Arabidopsis thaliana: one gene and its partner. The protein of the gene in region 2 interacts with the protein of the main gene of each other region in a biochemical or structural test. Each region holds a gene or a part of one and is shown on either strand. Other genes may lie near its edges. The genes, in order: LFY and SYD.

Region 1 (5,380 bases), on a different chromosome or scaffold from region 2:
GAATCTAACAAACTAGAGAAGAGCATTTATCTTTACTTCGACAAGGCCGAACGCGATCTGCGATTGGAGTTGATGGTACGCCATTTTCACTTTCTTGGTGCGATCGACCAGTGTCGCGAGCTTATCTCGGAGATCTGGCGCCGATACTGCTGCAGCACTTTCCTCCGCCGTGTATTGCGCCGGAGAGGCCTGGAATCTCCGTGGATAAAACGCTCTTGGCGGGAACTCCATTGTAGGAGGAAATCAGTTATCACACAAGTCCGAAGAGAAATGGATTCGAATTTCAAACAGTCGTTTCTCAAATTCTCTTTTGTTTTCTTCGTTTGCAATTTCTGACACACAAGTTTATATATCCACGGCCCATCTATTTGTCTCAAACCAGGCCCATATATTTGTCTCAAACTGGCCCATTATTGATTAATTATACTGATGACACCTTCACAGTTCTTTCTCGATGTATGAATGGTTATTTTCAGTGCTCTTAACTCAAATGTATCTTAGTACTTTTGAGTTTGACCAAATTGGTTTTAAAATCCGTTAACGCATTAAGAAAACTGCGTGTATAACAAATTAGCCATAACAAATTAAAGGTTTTGACAAAAAAAGAAAAATAAATTAGCCAAGAAGACTAAATTAAAGACTAATAGTTAATTAGGATAACGACTAAACAAACCACAACTACCCAAACCAAACTAGAAACGCAAGTCGTCGCCGCCGCATCCACCACGTCCAGACGTCGACGATCCGGTACAGCTAATACCGCCAACTAAAGCCGCAGCCGCAGCAACCGCATTGTTCCGCTCCAAATGGCAAAGCTGACGCAGCTTTGTTGGAACATACCAAATAGAGAGACGAGGATGAGCGTTAAAGACGGCGTCTATATCCCAGCCATGACGACAAGCGATGTTCACAAGTGGCTTGTAACAAGCCTGACGCCATGAGCCAACGTTCTCACCGCGTTCTTTAAACGCTCTTCTGAGAGCATTTGAAGCTTCTTCGTCTAGGCAGTGGAGAGCGTAACAGTGAACGTAGTGTCGCATTTTAGGCTTGTTTATGTAACTCGCTCCTGATTTCTTCGCGTACCTGAATACTTGGTTCGTCACCTATTTACACATTTTCCCCAACATCAATATAATCAAACAAATCATTTATCATGAGATATATAGTAGGAAAAATGAAACCTAATAAGTTTGGTTTTAATTCGGTAAACAATGATTAAAAAAAAATGCCTACCAAAATTATAACCGTAGTTGTTAGATATTTTTTATAACCCTTGTTAGACTTGACACTTAACTAAACCCAAAAAATTAGATAACAAAAAGGTTTTTGATAAAAACAACACAATAATCAAAATATTGGAACCAATAACAAATTTAGAAAGAAAACAAATAAATTAGATTTTCTTAGTAACGTGCGTCTGTACAAGCAATGGCACAGAGCTCATGGATTCTGTACTATCATCACTAGAGGAAAGAGGACCCTCTATTATCCGCCGAGCAATAGACTGTAACTAGATATAATAATATATACATACAACAAATATCCCTATTAATTGTCAAAAAGTCTAATAATATCTATGTGTACTATGTGTGAATGCATGCAAAAATTTGTATATCGTATCTAACTATCTCATGTCGTTATAGCCAAAAACAAAGAAACAACTATGTCCTTTCCCTAACTCGACACGTTGTCGTACGTTTACTGTCAAAATTGAAATTGAAATCTAACTATATTTATGCTGAAGACAGTATGAAAACAAAATGAAAAATTTAATAAATTAGAACCTAAATTTTGTTGCGAGACATAGCAAAAAAAAATAAAAAATTGAAAACCCTGAGAAATCGTGATTTGTCAAACTTGCTTTTAGAACAGCTGTCCATGATTATAGCTATAGTTCCCCTACCATACCCCATAACTTCCGACACCATTTTTTAAACTTTTGTTTGAAACATAAATTTCAAGATAATGAACGGTCAGGATTAGTTCTTAGAAGATAAATCAAAAGATACCTTGGTGGGGCATTTTTCGCCACGGTCTTTAGCAATTGTCTGGACCTGAAGAAGGAACTCACGGCATTGTTCGTACAAGTGGAACAGATAATCTAAGCCGTTCTTTTTGCCACGTGCCACTTCCCCAGGCTCCGTTACGATAAACGGATGCTCCCTCTGTCTCTCTGTCCCCAAACCACTACCTCCGTTGCCGTTATCCATCCCGTCGTCATCCTCACCTTCGTTGACGTCTTCGTCGGTTTCCACTGACGTCAGCATTGGTTTCTTTCTCCGTCTCTGCTGCTGTTGCTTCTTCATCTTTCCTTGACCTGCGTCCCAGTAACCACTTCCTCCTCCGCCGTTATTCCCCGCCGCATCAGTCTGGTCTTGTTGCTGCACCGGTTCCTCAGATAACCCTGTCCAATCATCTACATATAAATTGTCACAATCACAAAAAATTATTCAAGTTTAGGCGTATATACTCTTTGAATTCCTGTACATGACATTAATCCTCGTACTTCTTGCACTAGGTCTATTTAATAAATATCAGACTATGACTGCATACTCTATACACACAGTAGCTCTAAATCAATATCATACAAGTAAATATATCCAACATATAAATTAAATATGACATATATTATCTTGTATTATGTAACAAAAGCTTAACCAATATATTTAACCAAAAAAAAAGCTTAAACATAAAATTATGTAGCAACTACTATACATATGGTAAGATTCATAAATTAGTTATCTATATTAGTCACGTGAACATATACATACTTTTTCTTGAAAGTCGGGCATAGAAATGTTGAGAACAATATATACACATATTTATAAAACGTGCGATATTTGATATTTCTATATGTATTCATAATTATTGTACCTTCTTGGGAGAGAGCATCAAGAGCGTGATGAGTACCGGAATCACCAGCGGCGGAGAGTAGCAAATGACGGCGTCTAGAAGATTCCTCTTCCTCCTCTTCTTGCAATCGTCTCCGTTCAGCTCTAACGGCAGCTTTGATACCGTACCGTTCACCAACAAGAAGCTCCCAACGAAAGATATGAGAGAGACTATTCATCATCTCTTCAAGCTCCTCGTCCTTCATACCCACAAGCGTGCTCGCCGTAAAACCTAACTCCGCTATCTTCGCCGCCGTGTAGAAACGTATACCGTACGGACCGAATAGTCCCTCTAAACCACCAAGTCGCATCCCAAAAGCAGCCGTCTGCGGTGTCACCGGCTGTTGCTGCAGCGGAGGTGGAACCGGAGGTGGTGCTTGAACCAATGCTCTCGTTGGGTTCCACCGGAATAAGCCACTCGTGAAACCTTCAGGATCCATAATCTATTTTTCTCTCTCTCTCTATCACTCTCTTTTTCTCTCTTTCTTTACTCTTTTGAGCAGATTGCTTTATTGTAAAAATGACCACTCGAGCAACTTCTATATATACAACAGTAAAGAATCTAGAAAATAAATACTAGGTTTTTGTATATTCTTTTTTTATATCGCTATTTTTGCAATAAAGCATTTATGTGTAGATGTAATGTGATGTAAAAGAAGATATGTGTCTTGCTGGGAAATTGACAGTTGGGACTTAACAAGTCAAACTTTTTCTTTCATCGACATTCTTTTTCTCTACTCTGATTATGACCATTCATAATTTGACACGTAGGAATATAAAATGATTAGGGTTTTCACTGTGGTGATTCTCTTCTTTATGCATATTAATATTTACTGTGATGATCCTATCTTTTTGATGTTTTGTTCAAGTATTAATATTTACTGTGATGATCCTCTGTTTTTGATGTTTTGTTCAAGCTGTGTTATTTGTTTTAATTTCATCCTCGGGGGTTTTTTTTTTTTGGGGGGTCTCATTGTTTGTACCATGAGAGCACGATCAAACGGAACCATTCCACCATTTGGTTAGATTTCTTGAACATTTAACCATCTAAAAGTATAAAAAAAAAAATCTACAAATACATTTATGACAAAAATATTTGTTACGATAGATTGATTATTGATAGATTGCTGATATCGTTTAACTATCTTAAGATACATGGCCAACCTACGTCTTTTTCAATTTTAATATCCTTTCCAATCTTCTTATAAGTTCTAGGTACGAATGGAAAGTTGGCAATACTGGCTATATTAAGCTATGATAATCTGTAAGTCATATATGATATATAGAAATACGTAAAAATTTGTATTATGTAAACTTTAACTGTATTGGCATGGACGCATGGTACCATGCACAATCTTTGCAGAAGCCCGATAAGTTACTAAAATTATATTCCCCTATGATTCATATAACTTAAGGGAATCCATTATCCATAATTCCATATATGTCTATCTAAATAAGCTTTGGAAGTATTGTTAGGGGAAGATAAATTTTGTATGATAAGAAATATCAGCACTCTGAGTCTGAGATTGTTAATCTACTATATATAGCCACAAGTTGTTCTTTTGCTTTAAATAAACATAAGCTAATAAATGAAACCTTTATCTATCTGCGTTTTAGGAAACATTAATTGATAAATGCAGTGTGAAAACTCCAGAAGGAGAGGAGGTCAGGTGTGTTTCGGTCTAATCTCTTCAACTATCTCTTACGTGTTGTCATCTCCCTGATTTGTAATTACCCCTATTGCCCTAGTACACATATATTTTTTTTAGTCGTTAAGAAAATCAGAAAACCGAATCAATTTGATAAGTTACATTTCTATATATATTCACCCATCTAAAAATTTTTTTTTTGGTAATGTCAAATTTATTAAATAACAGAAAGAACTTACAAATTAAAGTGGGGAAAAAAGCAATGGTTATTTTGTTATTTTTATATGTTGGAACTAAAAATACAAATTAAAGTGTGGGATTGGACATATGGGTTACGTAAACTTTGTGACTAAACAGTGAAAAAAAAGAATGATGTGAAAATATATAAAAAATTATAACATTGGAATTGAGCCGATAAAAAACTTTAATGTTGGAAAGGTAGCCAATGAGGAAACGACAGGTCAAATCGAAGTTCTGAGAGACTGGCATTCTTAATGCTCTCAGTCTGTTTTATTTTGACTGTCTCACTCCCTCAGTTTCCTCTTACCTTTTCTTTGTCCTTTCTCTCATTTAGTTTATTATTAATCTTTAACATTACAAGTTTACAACATATAAATTCATTACTATTATATATCATCATCTTCATCATTGCGAGTAGCGGCTCGTACTCTTGATACTGTTTTCACCACTGTTATTTAACTGTTGGAGTTTTAGAATCTTGAAAAGACTGAATAATCTGTTCTAAAGCCTCCTATTACTACCCTATTTTCTCAGTATCATTTTCACATTAAAGAAAAACAACTCAAAAGTGACTTAATTCAGCTATTTATTACTGTTTCA
Region 2 (5,269 bases):
ATGTTATGAAATAAAAATAGTTATATATTTTGCTGTTTGATTTATATTCACCGATTCTGATTGATGCTTATATATTACTTTGTTTCCATCGCTTCTAAATGTCAAATGATAATATTCTAAGATCATAGCAATTGAGATCACATGCTTAAACAACAAACAACGACATTTTTTTCACGAATCCAGTCTTACTATTAGAGGAATAACGAATCAAGAAAAGGTTGTTAAGAGAGAAAAAGAAAACAAATTCATTCTCATTCATCTTAATTGGGACCGGAAAGATTACATTGGAACCTCTTATATAGTAAGAGATACTCTAAAACTGAGATAAGTAAACACCACAAAACAAAATTAAGAGATTAGGGTGTGTTTGGGATTTGCACTGAGCTTGGAACATAAGAGCACACAAGTGGGTAACAAAACTTGTCTCTAGATTCGCCAAGATCCACTTTACTCAAGATTCCATTATTTCCAATGATGTAAGCAATATTGCGAGCGGGAAGGTGACATTTGTCTATTATCTCTTTATCAAGAACAACCGCGACCTTCTTCTCCTCGTCAACGAAGAAACTCCTACCGACATTAGGAAACCAAAAACCAGCGACTGGTTTCATATCAACAGCAAATAACAAGTTGCTCCACGACACTGCATTAGGCTCAATCTTATTAGTAATCCATATCTCGACGACGGATGCCCGGTGAAACAGCACCGCAAGCTGCTCTTCTCTAACACTAGCAAGCGTCACAGTATCTCCAAATACGGCTCGGAAAGGCAGAGGCAGACGCGGTTCAAATCTTGAAATCAAAGGATAGTAGAAAATCAGGGTGATCTAGTGATGGTAGACCATGAAATGGGATCTCTTCTAGGGCATACCAGTAAGTGTTTCCCTTTAGAGACACGCCACTGTGTTTGTACAAAATATACCAGTCTGGAGTGAAATCATCAATGACCTCCCATGAATTGGAGTATAAACTGTAAATCTGAAGCTCACGAATTCGGTCCCTACTGGTCTCCAAGTACTCATTCACGAATCTCAAGATTTTGTGATTCTTTTTCTCGTATCCGAGAGCGTACTTCACGCACTTGTGGTAGATAGAATTTCTAGGTAATTCGATATACCTTGTTTGTCCCAAATAAGGGTTCCAAACAACAACCCTAGAAGAGTCTTTGTCTCTGTCCTTGTTGATGCATAAGAATAAACCCTTGGCAGTGAAAGATTTTAGATATTTTGATTCCATCTGCATTGAGATTACCTATAGGATCTATAGACGGAGAGAGTAGATCTACGCTCATCAAGGAAACTCTATAGTCCATCATCATCACCACCTCAATTCCATTCCTCTGTTTCTTCTTTAAAAAGCTCTCACTTTTCGTTATAGTGTTCCACTTTTTGCAGGTCAATCGCAGTTTCCCCAGAGATTTCACCGGAACCCTAGAGAGCACCTCCTCCTCCATATCAATTGGAAGATCGAACATCTTCGAATCGAATCTCCCAAAATCTCTCTCTCTTTTCCGTGTCTATCAATCCATCTCTTCACGCCCTCTTTTAGTGATATAACTTATCTTTTTCAATTTGGGCTTTATGGTAATGGGTCAAGGCCCATTAAGGGGTCTCGTTTAGAACTCTTGATTAATGTCTGAAATAAGTTTTATACATTTCTTCATTTGGAGAGTCATTTCGCAGAGACGACGCATAGCTTCTTCACTTGTCAGCTCTCAACGTTTCTCACCTGAAATTTCACTTCTGCTTCGTCTTCTCGAGCCGGATCTCTAATTTGTAAAGCTCCCTCTCTCTTTCTTCTTGTTCTTCTTCGTCTCCTTCTACACTGATGGATCGTTATTTAGCTATTTAGGGTTTTGTGAGTTGCATTAACTAGAGTAACTCGCGAATTCTTCTCCTTTGCCTTGCGATTTGGGGAATTTTTTAGCTCCATCAGCCAATTTTACAATTTTGTATGTATCCGTGGATTTATCACATGAATTGTGGACCTCTGAGTTTTTTTTTTTTGTTAGGTTCTTCTCGCTTTAGTTTTGCTTTTAGGTACATAAATTTTCCTCCTTTATGATTTACTTGCTCTTGGGCTATTTTCTTTTATTTGTTTGGTATGGAGTATGGACTCTAGAGTTTAGTTTAGTTTTTTTTTTTGGGCACATTGGTTGGAATTAGTCTTGTTTTATTCTGAATTGTGTAATCAATATCTGCATGCTTGTGGTGATGCAGGGAATTCTTATGTGATGGTGTAATTTAAGTTAAGATGACGTCTTCTTCGCATAATATTGAGTTGGAAGCAGCTAAGTTTCTGCATAAACTTATTCAAGATTCTAAAGATGAACCTGCAAAGCTAGCAACTAAACTTTATGTGGTAATGTGGCTTCACCACTCAGTGTATGTTTTATTTTGTAATTTTGAGCTTTATTCCTGTGCTTTAACTTTGTTTATTCTTTCGATTACTCTAGATATTGCAGCACATGAAAACCAGTGGAAAGGAAAACACAATGCCCTATCAAGTCATATCTAGGTATTGTTTTCCTTATATATCGTCGCTGGTTATTTGTTAATGAATTACTGATTAGGTTGAGATGATATAATCTTCTTACGCTGTGAGGACGTGGGGGCTGCTTCTTACTGAATCAGTTGCTTTAGCCTTTATCTAACTCAAGACTTTAGAATCTAGTTATTCTGGGTCTTTCAGCGTCAAGCTGTTTCTCATGCTTTCAAAGATTTATCACTTTTGTTTTACTGATAAAGTCTTTCTAAAACTCCCAGGGCCATGGACACTGTAGTCAATCAACACGGTCTTGACATTGAAGCTTTGAAGTCCTCGTGTCTTCCTCATCCTGGTGGTACCCAAACGGAAGATTCTGGGTCTGCACATTTGGCTGGTATATCCTCTCTCCTTTGTTTCAGTTGAGTGTTTCAATTGTTTTTTTTATTTATTTATTTATTATCTTAAGCTTCTTGCATCAATGTGGAATACAGGGTCTTCCCAAGCGGTTGGAGTTAGCAATGAGGGTAAAGCAACTCTAGTTGAAAATGAGATGACAAAATACGATGCATTCACTTCTGGTAGGCAGCTTGGTGGATCAAACAGTGCGTCACAAACCTTTTACCAAGGGTCTGGAACTCAAAGTAACAGATCATTTGATCGTGAGAGTCCATCCAACTTGGATTCTACGTCTGGAATTTCTCAACCTCACAATCGTAGTGAGACAATGAATCAAAGAGATGTCAAGTCGAGTGGAAAGAGAAAGAGAGGTGAATCATCACTTTCATGGGACCAGAATATGGATAACTCTCAAATATTTGATAGCCACAAGATTGATGATCAAACTGGAGAAGTAAGCAAAATAGAAATGCCCGGTAATTCAGGTAGGGATATTTGCTTCAACATTGTTTCTTACAGAACAAAGCATATCCTTTTTAATCTAGAATATAAGAAGCACCCTACAATTGTTGCCATTAAACCTCAGGTGACATTAGGAATTTGCATGTTGGGTTGTCCTCAGATGCATTCACGACTCCACAGGTACATAACACTAAGTTTCCCGAATCCATCCAGATTATATACATATTGTGTACATAACATTAGGTTTATGAAATCATTTTGAGCCTCCCTGACTCTGCCAATTTCAAATATTTTGGGACTTTGTGCTACACGTATCTGATGCACAATAACTTCTTAAGAATGTATAAAGAGATATATGCTGGCACATGGTGGCTTATTCTCCGAAACATTTGTCTCTCCTTAGAAGTATTATTTTCTTATCTATTTTCGTTTTCTGTATTGGAAATATGAAAAAAATGCTTGCATTTCCCGTGGTGATTTTCTTTGTTTTTTAACCTAAAAAACTTAGATGCCACTAAATTCACTTTTTCAAAAACGTGATTTGATTAAAACTTTGCCTTCTATATGATGTATTGAATCTTACTTGCATATAGTCTGACTTAGGCTCTGCAAAATGTCCTTTCCTCTTTTATTTCATACCAAGATACCTCGTTGGAACTCATCCCCTCTATATGTGGGATCTTATTTTCTATGGCAGTGTGGCTGGCAGAGCAGTGAAGCCACAGCAATCAGGCCTGCAATTCATAAAGAACCTGGAAATAATGTTGCAGGAGAGGGATTCCTGCCTTCAGGTTCACCTTTTAGAGAGCAACAACTGAAGCAGCTCAGAGCCCAGTGCCTTGTGTTTCTAGCTCTTAGGTACCTTACAGTCTCCTAGCCTCTGTATACTCCTTTTGGTGCGGCAATTGTAACTCTAAAAATTTCTGGTTGATTTTCATCTCGTAGAAATGGTTTGGTACCGAAGAAACTTCACGTAGAGATTGCCCTTCGAAATACTTTCCGCGAAGAAGGTAATGTTGGTGCTCACTGAAGTTACTTTCGAATCCACTTTTTACATGCTTTCCCTTGGATCATAATTGGTCTTCATTACAGATGGTTTCCGCGGAGAATTGTTTGATCCGAAAGGGAGAACACATACGTCCAGTGATCTGGGTGGCATTCCTGACGTCTCTGCACTGTTGTCAAGAACAGACAATCCCACTGGAAGATTGGATGAAATGGACTTCTCATCCAAAGAAACTGAGAGATCAAGACTAGGGGAAAAAAGTTTCGCAAATACTGTATTTTCTGACGGGCAAAAGCTTCTAGCATCTAGAATTCCCAGCTCTCAAGCACAAACTCAGGTTGCTGTTAGTCATTCTCAACTAACGTTTTCTCCTGGTTTGACCAAAAACACACCATCAGAGATGGTGGGGTGGACTGGAGTAATCAAAACTAATGACCTCTCAACTTCTGCTGTTCAACTCGACGAATTTCATTCTTCTGGTTAGTGACTATCTTAGATGGGATTGTTTTAACTGATGGGTCTTTCCCTTTTGGAGTGTAGTATTGTTAACTAATTTGATTGATAACTCTTCGAATATGGATATATGGCACATAGCAGATGAAGAGGAAGGTAATTTGCAACCGTCGCCTAAGTACACCATGTCACAGAAATGGATTATGGGTCGACAGAATAAGAGACTATTGGTTGATCGTAGTTGGTCCCTTAAACAGCAGAAAGCCGACCAGGCAATTGGTTCACGGTTCAATGAGTTGAAGGTCTTTCTCTAGCCTTTTCTTTCATTGGTGTTACCTTTTGTTTCACGAGTGATTGATTTTTCCTGGTGTCAACGTTTTATGCTGTTGCTTGTTGTTTGTGGTGGTTCTTACTTTTCCGTGTTCTTGATCTTGTTATTGGAACAGATCAATGATCATATTTAAG

What was found.
Region 1: the proteins of SYD (region 2) and LFY form a complex in vitro, tested with the Arabidopsis thaliana proteins (one study listed by BioGRID).

What each region holds. Positions count from the first base shown.
Region 1 is NC_003076.8:24,842,246-24,847,625, reverse strand, and holds LFY (floral meristem identity control protein LEAFY (LFY)), read right to left. Parts: upstream 3,379-5,380; 5' UTR 3,332-3,378; coding exon 2,875-3,331; intron 2,417-2,874; coding exon 2,010-2,416; intron 1,104-2,009; coding exon 693-1,103; 3' UTR 637-692; downstream 1-636. Other genes in the region: AT5G61865 (uncharacterized protein), read right to left, coding at 37-231. UniProt on the Arabidopsis thaliana protein: Probable transcription factor that promotes early floral meristem identity in synergy with APETALA1.
Region 2 is NC_003071.7:12,054,518-12,059,786, forward strand, and holds the start of SYD (P-loop containing nucleoside triphosphate hydrolases superfamily protein), read left to right. Parts: upstream 1-2,253; coding exon 2,254-2,361; intron 2,362-2,455; coding exon 2,456-2,517; intron 2,518-2,765; coding exon 2,766-2,881; intron 2,882-2,978; coding exon 2,979-3,368; intron 3,369-3,469; coding exon 3,470-3,525; intron 3,526-4,042; coding exon 4,043-4,203; intron 4,204-4,290; coding exon 4,291-4,355; intron 4,356-4,437; coding exon 4,438-4,830; intron 4,831-4,945; coding exon 4,946-5,106; intron 5,107-5,269. UniProt on the Arabidopsis thaliana protein: Catalytic component of the chromatin structure-remodeling complex (RSC), which is involved in transcription regulation and nucleosome positioning.